2 linked regions of the Arabidopsis thaliana genome follow. The protein of the gene in region 2 interacts with the protein of the main gene of each other region in a pairwise test. Each region holds a gene or a part of one and is shown on either strand. Other genes may lie near its edges.

Region 1 (6,014 bases), on a different chromosome or scaffold from region 2:
TCTGTAATCGCTGGTTTCAAAGGGTTTGAAGATGTGGGAGATTGTGTCACTGAATTAAAACGAACGACGTCGGATTAGGGAGTTTCTTGATGAGAGGAAAAGGAAAGTGTTTTTGTGGATGGATAGGTGAAGAAGAAGAAAGTGACAAATGATTTGCTTTTTGAAATGATTGTGCTTCTTTAAGCTAAAGTCCTCTTGGCCATCTGTTACACTATTTCTTTCCATGTCTCAGAGAGCTTTGATATTTTTGATAAATTTGATTTAATTGTTTCTAGTTATGGGAATAATCAAAATCCTTTACAGAGACATTTTTTTTGTAAACTTTGGGTAAAAGCTGAGACATGTTGGATGGTAGCAAATTAAAATTTACGAAAAGAGGATAAATTACAACAAAGTAAGCTTTTATAGGTACTATTGATTTTTTCATAGGATACCTGAAAAAGGGTAGAGAAACTACATCTAAATTCACGCGAATACTCTGTTACGATCATGTATAGAGTTTTTTTTTGGGGTCAAACTGAATATGTTTAGAGTATATTTTATTTATTTTCTTGTTATCTGATGATATCTTTGTCTTTCTCTTATTGTCAAAAGCATATAATCCGACTTATCAAATTTTTTATTTTATAACTGACTAATCAAATATTTTTTTACTTAAAATATTATTGATAATTAGAAAATTAGATCCAAATTCTACATTTGTTCTTTTCTCTAATCTCTATAGTTTTGGATTTTAGTTGGTAACTTTTGAATTCCTGAAAGTAAATTTGGTAACTTTTGGGTAGTAATTTGATTTTCAAAAAGTTTAGAAATGCATTAAAGTGTAAAAAACGAAAAACAAAAACCCCCAAGATAAATAGTTTTTTGTTTGGGGGGTAAAAATGATAAATAGTTTGGGATGTGGATGACGTCAACATTGATCAGTTACGAGATTACGATTTTATAACTCTTTTAACCAAAGCTAATCACTTCACCCTCTGTTTTGTTTCTCCCCAATCAAAAATCTCAATCCCAATCACTTCGCTTCTAATCTTAAAGCCTTTAATTTAGTCTTCGAGCCCTCTAATGGCGGATCAGAGCAAAAACACTCCAGAGATCTTCGAGCTCAACAATGGCACCATGCAGGTCAAGATCTCAAACTACGGCACCACCATCACCTCTTTGTCTGTTCCCGACAAGAACGGTTTGTTCTCTTCTTCCTCCTTTCAATGATGATCTCTGTTTTGTCTCCAAATCCTAATCCTCTGATTATCGTCTTTGTTTTTCTTATTTGAAGGGAAACTGGGGGATGTAGTTCTCGGATTCGACTCGGTGGATCCATATGTGGTAATTTCTCTCGAATTCACCTAATCCTTGAACTGATCTCGACATAGATTCAATCAATCTGATCGAAACTCTAATCACTGCCTCTGGATCTCATGAATAGAGTCTGAATCATAATTTAAGAAATGTATATGGTCATTCATGTACCTTGTTGAATGACTTTGTGATGAACTATCAAAATAAGATGGACTTTGTAACAATGTTAATGAATATGTGTGTTTTATCTATGAATATGATTGTTACAGAAAGGGCTTGCACCATACTTTGGGTGCATTGTTGGTCGTGTGGCAAATCGGATCAAGGAGGGAAAATTCAGTCTCAATGGAGTTAACTACACTTTGCCTATCAACAAGCCTCCTAATAGTCTCCACGGTCTGTATAAACAATTCTCTTCTCTGTATACTTTCTCTATAACTTTCTGTGAACTAAATAGGATTTGGACCGTAAAATGTTACTCTATCTGTACAGGTGGTAACAAGGGTTTCGATAAGAAGATATGGGAAGTTGCAGGGCACAAGAGAGACGGCGAAAAACCTTTCATCACTTTCAAATATCACAGTGCCGATGGAGAAGAAGGTAATGACATATCCTTTCTCTAGCATTTGATTTCTGTGGGATTAGATTAGCTATATAATGTTTTGCGGTTCCCCTCCACAGGTTACCCTGGTGCGGTTTCTGTCACGGCGACATACACTCTCACGTCAGCCACGACAATGAGACTTGACATGGAAGCTGTTCCAGAGAACAAAGATACTCCCATCAACTTAGCTCAACATACATACTGGAACTTAGCAGGTCATGACTCAGGAAACATTCTAGACCATAAGATTCAGATATGGGGGTCTCATATCACGCCGGTTGACGAATACACAGTTCCTACAGGAGAGATCTTGCCTGTAAAGGGAACTCCTTTCGATTTCACTGAGGAGAAGCGGATAGGCGAGTCTATTGGAGAGGTTGGTATCGGATACGATCATAACTACGTGTTGGACTGTCCTGATCAAGAGAAGGAGGGGCTGAAACACGCAGCGAAGCTCAGTGATGCTGCTAGCTCAAGGGTACTGAACTTGTGGACCAATGTGCCGGGAATGCAGTTTTATACCGGGAACTATGTGAATGGAGTGGTTGGGAAAGGGAATGCGGTTTACGGGAAACATGCGGGTGTGTGCCTTGAGACGCAGGGATTCCCGAACGCGATTAACCAGTCGAATTTCCCGTCTGTTGTGGTTAAGGCTGGTGAGAAGTACAATCACACGATGCTGTTTGAGTTTTCAGCTTGAGTTTATAGATGGACGTTTTAGGTGTTAGATGATGGGAATAAAGGGCCGGTTCATTTGATTCACTGGGCTGGAAAAAGAGTGATTTTAATTTTATCTCTTTGGGGGAGAATAATAAAACCAAACTGTTTACATTATATTAAAGTTACTTTATTTTTTCATATCTTCTAAACATTTGGCCCATTTGTGAAATTGTGAATTGTGCAGCGAATGAATCTCCCATTGTTCACATGAACTTGGAAAAAAAGAGCAATTAGTGTATTTGAGTAATTCTGATGGCAATTATGTCTACACGCATGTCTTTTGGGCGGTGAGAAACACGCGCCACTAAAGAAGCAAAAGCCTATGGGCCCCAAAAAATATCAACCATCCATCTCTGTAATCTCTTCGTCCTCCCTTAAATTTTTGTTTCATTATTTTTTTCACTAGTAACCACGGCTTGTGTTGTGGCTTAAACACAGAAATGGCTTCTTTACCGTTCGGAGTTTCGAATCTATGCAGAAATCAGGAGGTTCTGTCTGCGTCTGTAAGGCTTCTTCCGGTTGGGCGACAAACCACAGGTTCTGTTCTCCCCCAATAATCGTTTTCGATAAAACTTAAGGATTTCAAGCTGAAGCGATTGTAAAACTCTCCTGTGTTTGTTGTGATGATGCAGGATTCGGAGCTGCGAAGAAAGTCTTATATAGATTCGAGGGACATAGATTGTCATCATCAGTAGAAAAGGGAGAGAAACAGAGAATGAGATGTAGAGTTAGCTCAAACTCTACTGAAACTGAAGACGATTCTGCTACAAAAACCAAGGTCTGCACTCCATCTCTTTGAATTTACATCATAATCTATCGTCGTAGTAGTCCTGAAGCAAACTCTGTTGTGAAATAATTTGGTTATAGACGACGCCGTTTGGTTACACGAGGAAGGATGTTATATTGATAGGAGTGGGAGTGACTGCACTTGGTATCGGGCTAGAGAGTGGACTTGAGGTAATTCTCATTATCTACATACTGATGATATCAAATGAATCTGTTATCTTTTTCTTTGTTCTTCTGAGTACTCATTTTGTGATAATGATATGGTGCAGTATGTGGGAGTTGATCCGTTGCAAGCGGGGAATGCAGTACAGCTGATACTGGTGCTTGGTTTGACTTTGGGTTGGATTTCGACTTATATCTTTAGAGTCGGTAACAAGGAGATGACTTATGCCCAGCAACTTCGTGACTACGAGTCTCAAGTCATGCAGGTTTCTGCTTTTTCGTTAATCTCTTTATCAGGGTTTATCTACTTTACCTAACATAAGTTTGGTTTGGTTGGTTGGTAATGAGCAGAAACGATTGGAGAGCTTATCGGAGGCAGAGTTAGAGGCATTGATGGCACAGGTTGATGAAGAGAAGACCAAGGTTGAGTAGGTTCCTCCATTGTGTTACTGTTACATCACCTGCAAAAGTTTGTAAAACGAAGAATAGCACAGGCTTTCAAAGTAAAAATCTAGATATTAATCTGATTTTCTTTCTTCTTCCTTGCTGTTTGTTGTATGAACGATACACACTAAAAATATACAAATCGAAGAATATTTTGGACACACCACAGGACCCTCAAGGGCTTTATACAAGATGAATCAAAACTCACGAACAAATTGAATCAAATGAATTTGAAGTTATGAACAAATGTCAAGTTCTAAATATTTACGGCTCATCTCTCACCCAAATGCCTTACGAACAATGGGAATTCTGTCGAATCTGGGTGAAGTCCATTTACTAGAGCCACAAATTTGGGTACACACTCAGGGCTGAGTAACTTGAGCTTCCATGTTACTGAATTCACTGTCCTCTTTTGGCTGCTTTGAAATGTGGAATCCTTCTGCTTGACCTTCAGTGACAAGCACGAGCTTCCTCTTGATTCAACAACCTGGATAACACCCCAATTTGCACATAAAAAACTGACATAAGCGAGAGAAAGGGAAAGAATAAACAAACTTGTTACCATCTCAAATATGTCGGAGATGGAGCAGCTTGAGTCAAGTGAGAAATATGGGGATGAAGAAGCATCATCTGTTGGCAGAAAACTCAGTTGCCTGAAGTCTTCATTGCATATGAAAAGATGTCCACCCGCCACAAAGAGTGACCGTGGAAGCCATGACACTTCTGTTCAGTTTAACACAAAAAAATTGATTAACATTATAGTTAATGATCAGTGCTGATACTGCTCGAATCAAATTACTTATAAGCTTGTCAAACCCTATTAAGAGAAATAAAGCTTCCTCATACAAGAGAGAATAATATACCTCCAAAAGTGCTGCTCTGAAAATGGAGAACAATATACTGGAATATACTCAGCTTCAAACCACTACATATTTCTTTCTCAAACAATTCCACTTGAACATTCTCCAAACTGCCATTTAAGTTTCAATACATCTCAAATCAGCAAACAGAAGAAGAATAGTAAAAGAGCTGGAGAAATAGATGATGATAGCTCACCTCTTCAAAGAAAATTTTGATTCTGTAACCTGATAATCCAAGAATTTTATGATATTGAGTAAAACTGTTGTTTTTTCAATGCTCGCCGTCATGAAAATGTACTCTGCATCCTCCCTAAAACGTAGCCTAAACCAGAAGGAAAGTGAGACATGGGCACATAATCAATTTTCAAAGCGGAGCCATGAAAAACTAACCTCACAACCTGAAGTCCTAGACCAACTGAGACATCTCGTATATCCCCGATTGTATGCGAACACAATAAACTTAAGCTGCTCTCTGCAGACACCAGGGATCAAGGAAAAGTAAATCAGTATCAACAGAACATAACACATTCGGACATAAAGAATAAGAGAAAGACAGGGAAGAGCAGTCTAACCTTGTAAATCAGTGGAGACACCCACGAGCAGCACATACAGTTTTTCTTGGCTACTCAGCAGCAACACTACTTCCCTGCATTTATAGAGTACTGTCAGGGGGAAAAGAAGAGCGCCATCCTTGTAAATGGCTTCTCAAGACAAATTTGTAGTTATAAAGTAAAGAGTATATTATTCATACATGTGAATTACAAGAGAACCGAGAACATCTCAATCTAATTCCATTGACCAGTTATTCCTTTTCAAATTGCATAAAGCCTACCAAACTAGAGAAGCACTACGCGACCTCAATAACCTCTTTTTTTTACTCAGCATGTTCCATCAAGTTTTAACTAAAGACAGAAGGGACTCAGGTTACTTTTTCTTTCACCTAAACCACAATAATAGATGGAACAAAACTTACCGTTGCTTATAGGTGGATTCTTGCTGTAGTATGCAATCACAACTAACGTAAATCCTACAAGTCTCATCATTGCTGGAATCTGACAGTGTCGTTGTAAAAAATTCCTCCACTAGACCACCCATTCCTTCAAGGGATTTTTCAGTTTCCAAAAATCTAGTACTTCTCT
Region 2 (6,567 bases):
AATCTGTTCGGCGATCAATTATTGAAAATTTAACAAAACCCTACAGAGAAAATAAAGAATCAAACACATACCACGATACAGAGGGGGTTAAAGGAGGAAGCTTTAGACGAGAATTTAACAGAAAGATTAAAGATTTTTGATTTGAATAAAGCTAAATCGCGAGAGGAGAATTAGAAAGAAGAAGAAGAAACAAATTAAAAAAAAAAGGTCGTTTGAAAAAGAAGAGTGACAGCTGGGAAATCGAATTGAATTGGTTTTGTTGGTATTGAAGAATATTCGTGAGAGAAGAGAACCCAACGAAACTTTGCTTCAGCGGTTGCGTGTACTGTCATCTACTTAAACCACTGCCACGTAGATGCCAAGTCATAATTTCGAAAAAAACGAACCAATTTGTCTTGTTGTTACAAGTGAAGGATAAATTTGCCAAAAGTCAAAATAAAATGTGTTGGTGTTGATCTACCAAAATTGTTTCAATAGTGTGTTATTTAAAGATAGCAAGCATGTGTGTTTTGAATTATGGAAAATGATAAATTAACAGCTCCATTTTAGCTTAATCACTCCACCGATAGTGATTTTTAGGAAGATACTTGCGATTATGGTATAGCAAAAGCCAAAGGATTACAAAATTTGGGATCTAATGAGGCTCTATGTTACTTACTTGTTGGTCACCTTCGTAGATTCTTACCAAAAGAATCGTAGCTTTGAAACCTTCAAAATACTTCTTTTTGGATGGTTAGAATTTAGAAGTTCATCATTTGTGCTACCTCATCCTCATAACCATACCAATCTTAACCACTATAATAAATTTAAATGCTTTGCCAATAAGAAATTCGTTGGTCTAAACCATATGATATTGACATGGTCCTTGATTCTTAGTCTAAGGTGCAAGATTCCTTAATTCTCACCACTTCTTTGTTTTCATTTACGTTTATTTTGACAGTTTACGTTTTCTACACTTCAAAGCAAAATAAATAGTGTTGCCTAAATCAATACCAACTAAACCATTTTTACCTAAAACATTTAAAATACGACACTTGTTAAAATAAAATAAAAAAATTAACATCAAAAACCCAAAATCCCTTTTATTGAACAAAGATCAAAAGCGGTAGATGAACAACTAAACGCTTTTTTGCAAGCATCGGTCAACATCAATCATCTTCCTTTGTATATGAGACCTCGTATCAGAGATGTTTCAGATAAACTCCGACCTAACCGAGCCTCCTTCGACGACGGAGAAACAAAGTTTCACCGGAAACATCTTCCGCCTCTCAGGACCATGTTCGGTCGATGGCGGAAATGGACTGTTCTTGTGGCAGCGATCTGGATCCAAGCATCGACGGGAACCAACTTCGATTTCTCAGCTTACTCTTCCCATCTCAAATCAGTTCTCGGAATTTCTCAGGTGAGGTTAAATTACCTCGCCGTGGCTTCTGATTTGGGGAAAGCGTTTGGATGGTCGTCTGGGATTGCTTTAGGTTATTTCCCTCTCTCCGTCGTTCTTTTCGCTGCGGCGGCTATGGGATTTGTTGGTTACGGTGTTCAGTGGCTAGTCATCACCAACATCATCACTTTGCCTTATTCTCTGGTACATATATATAACTACTTGAATTCGAAAGATTCATACGAAATTCTTGTTAGTTTTTACTAAGATATTGTTGCTTCAAGGATCTGATTTGAATGTGGAATTGGTAGATTAGTTTGTTAGAATCGTGAGAGAACTGCATTTGATTTGGTTTAGTAATTGAATCTTTTCAACATGATAGGTGTTTCTCTGCTGCTTGTTAGCTGGATTAAGTATCTGTTGGTTCAACACAGCATGTTTCATCCTCTGCATTCGTCATTTCCCGAACAATCGTGCTCTCGCCTTATCTTTAACGGTAAGCTTCAATGGAATCAGTGCAGCATTGTACTCCCTTGCTTTCAATGCAATTAACCCGTCGTCGTCCAATCTATACCTTCTGCTGAACTCTCTGGTTCCCCTTGTTGTTTCCTTTGCTGCTCTTTACCCAGTTCTTACTAAACCGTCTCTAGATACTACTCCGGACTATGATTCCCGCAGACATGACTCCCATGTGTTTACCATTTTGAATGTTTTAGCTGTCATTACGAGTTTCCACCTTCTCCTATCTAGTTCCAGTACTTCATCAGCGCGTTTGAATTTCATTGGAGCTGTCGTCCTTCTGGTTTTCCCCTTGTGTGCTCCTCTTCTCGTTTATGCTCGGGATTACTTTCTTCCGGTCATTAACGCTCGTTTAAACCATGAAAGCTCTGGCTATGTTATGCTTAACATAGATGAGCTCAAGAACCAAAAAACGTCCGTTTCCAGCAAAACCGGGTATGAACATATGGGGACTGCTAAGGAAGGGAACACAGTGAGGCTCGGTGATGAACATTCGTTTCGATTGCTCATAAGTAGATTGGAGTTTTGGTTATACTACATTGCGTATTTCTGTGGTGGCACAATTGGCCTTGTTTACAGCAACAATTTGGGACAGATTGCTCAGTCTTTGGGACAAAACTCTACTACACTAGTCACAATCTACTCTTCATTCTCCTTCTTCGGTAGATTGCTCTCTGCCGCACCAGATTTTATGCACAAGTAAGTTTCATTTTAGATTAAGGAATGTCTTAATGTGAAATTGAAATAACATATTCTCATCAAGAATATTGGATCTTGCAGGAGATTTCGTTTAACAAGAACCGGCTGGTTTGCAATCGCACTCTTACCAACTCCAATCGCTTTCTTTTTACTAGCGGTATCATCCTCACAACAAACAGCATTGCAGACCGCAACCGCATTAATCGGTCTGAGTTCAGGTTTCATATTCGCAGCCGCAGTCTCCATAACATCTGATCTCTTTGGACCCAATAGCGTAGGTGTTAACCACAACATTCTCATCACAAACATACCAATCGGCTCACTCTTATACGGTTACATCGCTGCCTCCATTTACGAAGCCAACGCAAGCCCCGATATAACACCAATAGTGTCTGACTCAATCGTTTGCATCGGAAGAGATTGCTACTTCAAAACGTTTGTGTTTTGGGGTTGCTTGTCTATCCTCGGCGTCGTCTCAAGTCTGTCACTGTACATACGAACCAAACCGGTTTATCACCGGCTTGAACAAGACAAGGTTTCATTAACATCATCGTACAAGGATCTTGATCCATTGTAAATCAAATCTGTAACACAAAGAAACCACAGAAAAGATAATTAGTGGAACTTATTGAGAGAAAGACACCAGTTTTTGCTTACATATTATATGAATAGAATCTTAAATTAAAATTGTCTTTAATAAAGTAATTAGATTAAAGCTTAATCACACATTTTGTGGGTTAGTCATCAAAATTGACGCGCACAGAATCGGAGCCAACGTAACTGACAAAATCATGAATTAGCCGTTGTGACGACTTTTATCATTTTCTTTCTCTCTCACTCTTATTTCTTTCGTCTCCACCAAAAAGCAAAAAATAAACCCTAAGAAGCTTGATCTCATCGATAATGGCGGATTTTGGGTATTTTTCAGATACAGACGATTCAGCAGTGGAAGAGCTAATTTCGCAAGCGAAGGAGCTTTCTGATTTGGAGCAAGTAGCTGCTATCAATTGTTCTGGATTCACCGATTCTACTCTTCCAGATGATCTCGAATCTCGCTTCCGTCGCCTCAAATCTCTTCCAGCTGCTCCACGACACGAACCGGTATCTTCATCTTCTTCGATGAATAGGCAGAAGCCTCTCTCACATTCCAAAAGCGTGAATGTGAATTTCTCAGGAAATCGAAGAAATCCAGGTAAAAAAACTGGCTCTGTGAGTTTATCTGATGAAGATTCGAGTAATCTCTCGAGAAAAAAACGTGATCTGGATTTGAAATCGAGTTCTCAAGCTGAGCTTGTCTCTAATGGAAGTGGAGATTTCTCAGATTCTGGAAACATCAGTGAGAGTAAAATTCTCTCGCCAGTGAAACAACAAACGAAGAAGAAGCTTCCTAAAGAGAAACGAAGAATCGTATCACCATCTTCATCATCGTCAATCGATTTAGCTACACCACCATCAACAGATTCAGAACCAGAAAAGAAATCGAAACCGAAATCAAAGTCGTCATGGTTCGATAAGTTATCTCCGTCGAAACTCATCGGATCCATTTGGCGTTCTTCACCGAAAAAATCAACAACCAACAAGAAGAATCTCAAAAACTGTAAATCATTTGGTGCTGCTACTTACTCTTCTGGTCGAGAGAGGAACGTTGATTTCGATGAGTTTTTATCTGATTTGAATGCGTTTCCAGTGGAAGATCAAAGGAAAATGTTGAAGAAAGCGCTTAAGGAACAACAGAAGATGAGGAAAGAAGCAGCTGAGATCATTAAAATGGCGAAACATGCATCAGCTAGATTCGATTTTGATGATTGAGAGATTTGGGAAATGTGCAATTTGGGTTTATCTGGTTTTGTTGTTTTGGTTATTTAGTTTTGAGTCCGGTTTGAAGAAATGCTTCATAGATATATAAATGTAACCAGAAATATAAATAAATCATAACTAAGTAGTATTATATTTTTGTTAAGCTTAATTATTTCAATTCCAAGTCTTTCCTAAGAATTTGTTGAAAATTTATAATTTACGTTACACTTTGTAAAATCAGAACGATCCAATTCACAAGATTAATGCTACGACTCTGTTTTTTTCTTTAAAAATAAATCAATAATCATCTCCACTAAACCTCTCAATAACTTAGCAGTCTTAATGAAATTTAAAGCTAATCTATCAATCACATTCTCACCACGTCGCCAAACTCGTTGCCGTTTCAATCTTTTCAAGTTCCCTTTCATGCTGTTTATAAACCCTTGCACTCTTTCACTCACAGACTCACTACAAGTCTACACCACAAACTTACCAAATCATCCAAAAATGGCAACCAAAACTTTTCTCTACTGTTCTCTCTTAGCCATCAGCTTCTTCTTTGCTTCCAATTCTTCAGCTAACCGAGAGAACTTAACCGTCGAGCTAATCCACCGTGACTCTCCTCATTCTCCACTCTACAACCCTCACCACACTGTCTCTGACCGTCTCAACGCTGCTTTCCTCCGATCAATCTCACGTTCTCGCCGTTTCACAACCAAAACCGATCTCCAATCCGGTTTAATCTCAAATGGCGGCGAATACTTCATGTCCATCTCAATCGGTACTCCACCGTCGAAAGTTTTCGCCATTGCTGACACGGGAAGTGACCTAACTTGGGTCCAATGTAAGCCATGTCAACAATGTTACAAACAAAACAGTCCACTCTTCGACAAGAAGAAATCTTCCACCTACAAAACAGAATCTTGCGATTCAAAAACCTGTCAAGCCTTGTCCGAACACGAAGAAGGATGCGACGAATCTAAAGACATCTGCAAATACCGTTACTCTTATGGAGATAATTCGTTTACCAAAGGAGATGTTGCGACCGAAACAATCTCCATTGATTCTTCCTCTGGCTCCTCTGTTTCTTTCCCCGGTACTGTCTTTGGTTGCGGCTACAACAACGGTGGTACATTCGAAGAAACCGGATCCGGAATCATCGGACTCGGAGGTGGTCCATTATCGTTAGTTTCCCAGCTTGGTTCTTCCATAGGGAAGAAATTCTCGTATTGCTTGTCACACACGGCAGCTACAACAAACGGCACAAGCGTCATAAACCTAGGAACCAACTCGATACCTTCCAATCCAAGCAAAGACTCCGCTACGCTCACTACACCCTTAATCCAAAAAGACCCCGAGACTTACTATTTCTTGACACTCGAAGCAGTCACCGTCGGCAAAACCAAGCTTCCATACACCGGAGGAGGATACGGATTAAACGGGAAATCATCAAAGAGAACCGGAAACATCATAATCGATTCCGGTACAACCCTTACCCTTCTCGACTCAGGATTTTACGATGACTTTGGTACGGCCGTGGAAGAATCAGTAACCGGAGCAAAGCGTGTGAGTGATCCACAAGGGCTTTTAACACATTGTTTCAAATCCGGAGACAAAGAGATCGGTTTGCCGGCGATAACAATGCATTTCACGAACGCCGACGTGAAGCTGAGTCCGATAAACGCGTTCGTGAAACTAAATGAAGATACAGTGTGCTTGAGTATGATTCCGACAACTGAAGTTGCTATATACGGAAACATGGTTCAAATGGATTTCCTTGTTGGCTATGACTTGGAGACCAAAACGGTATCGTTTCAACGCATGGATTGCTCCGGGAACTTATGAAGCAAACGTTGCCGTTAAGAGCTAGCGTTTTTATTATCTGATATTCATAATTATTGCAATGTAATGAATATTCAGTATAAATAATATCTCTACTTACTAAATTAAATTTCTTCCTAAAATCAAATAGCCATATTTAGGTCTAGGCACGAAGCAGATATCCGGAAAAATTGTGATATTTGTTATTCGATTCGTTTTAACGAATACTTGATTTTGTGATTTGCTTTGCTTCGAAAATTTCCGGATATCCGGAATTTCGAATATCCGGAATTTTTTGTGATATTTGCGGATATCCGCTTTGATACATTTAAATATTAAAAAAAATTTGT

The links.
Region 1: the proteins of AT1G31460 (region 2) and DAC interact in a two-hybrid assay, tested with the Arabidopsis thaliana proteins (one large-scale study listed by BioGRID).

Annotation. Positions count from the first base shown.
Region 1 is NC_003074.8:6,140,296-6,146,309, reverse strand, and holds DAC (uncharacterized protein), read left to right. Parts: upstream 1-2,999; 5' UTR 3,000-3,063; coding exon 3,064-3,160; intron 3,161-3,255; coding exon 3,256-3,401; intron 3,402-3,490; coding exon 3,491-3,580; intron 3,581-3,678; coding exon 3,679-3,837; intron 3,838-3,922; coding exon 3,923-4,003; 3' UTR 4,004-4,185; downstream 4,186-6,014. Other genes in the region: AT3G17940 (Galactose mutarotase-like superfamily protein), read left to right, coding at 1,066-1,183, 1,277-1,326, 1,569-1,695, 1,792-1,899, 1,981-2,603; AT3G17920 (Outer arm dynein light chain 1 protein), read right to left, coding at 4,287-4,502, 4,578-4,738, 4,879-4,985, 5,072-5,197, 5,266-5,347, 5,448-5,521, 5,849-6,014.
Region 2 is NC_003070.9:11,259,546-11,266,112, reverse strand, and holds AT1G31460 (vitellogenin-2 protein), read left to right. Parts: upstream 1-3,176; 5' UTR 3,177-3,502; coding exon 3,503-4,408; 3' UTR 4,409-4,670; downstream 4,671-6,567. Other genes in the region: NFD4 (Major facilitator superfamily protein), read left to right, coding at 1,169-1,585, 1,764-2,599, 2,681-3,176; AT1G31450 (Eukaryotic aspartyl protease family protein), read left to right, coding at 4,904-6,241.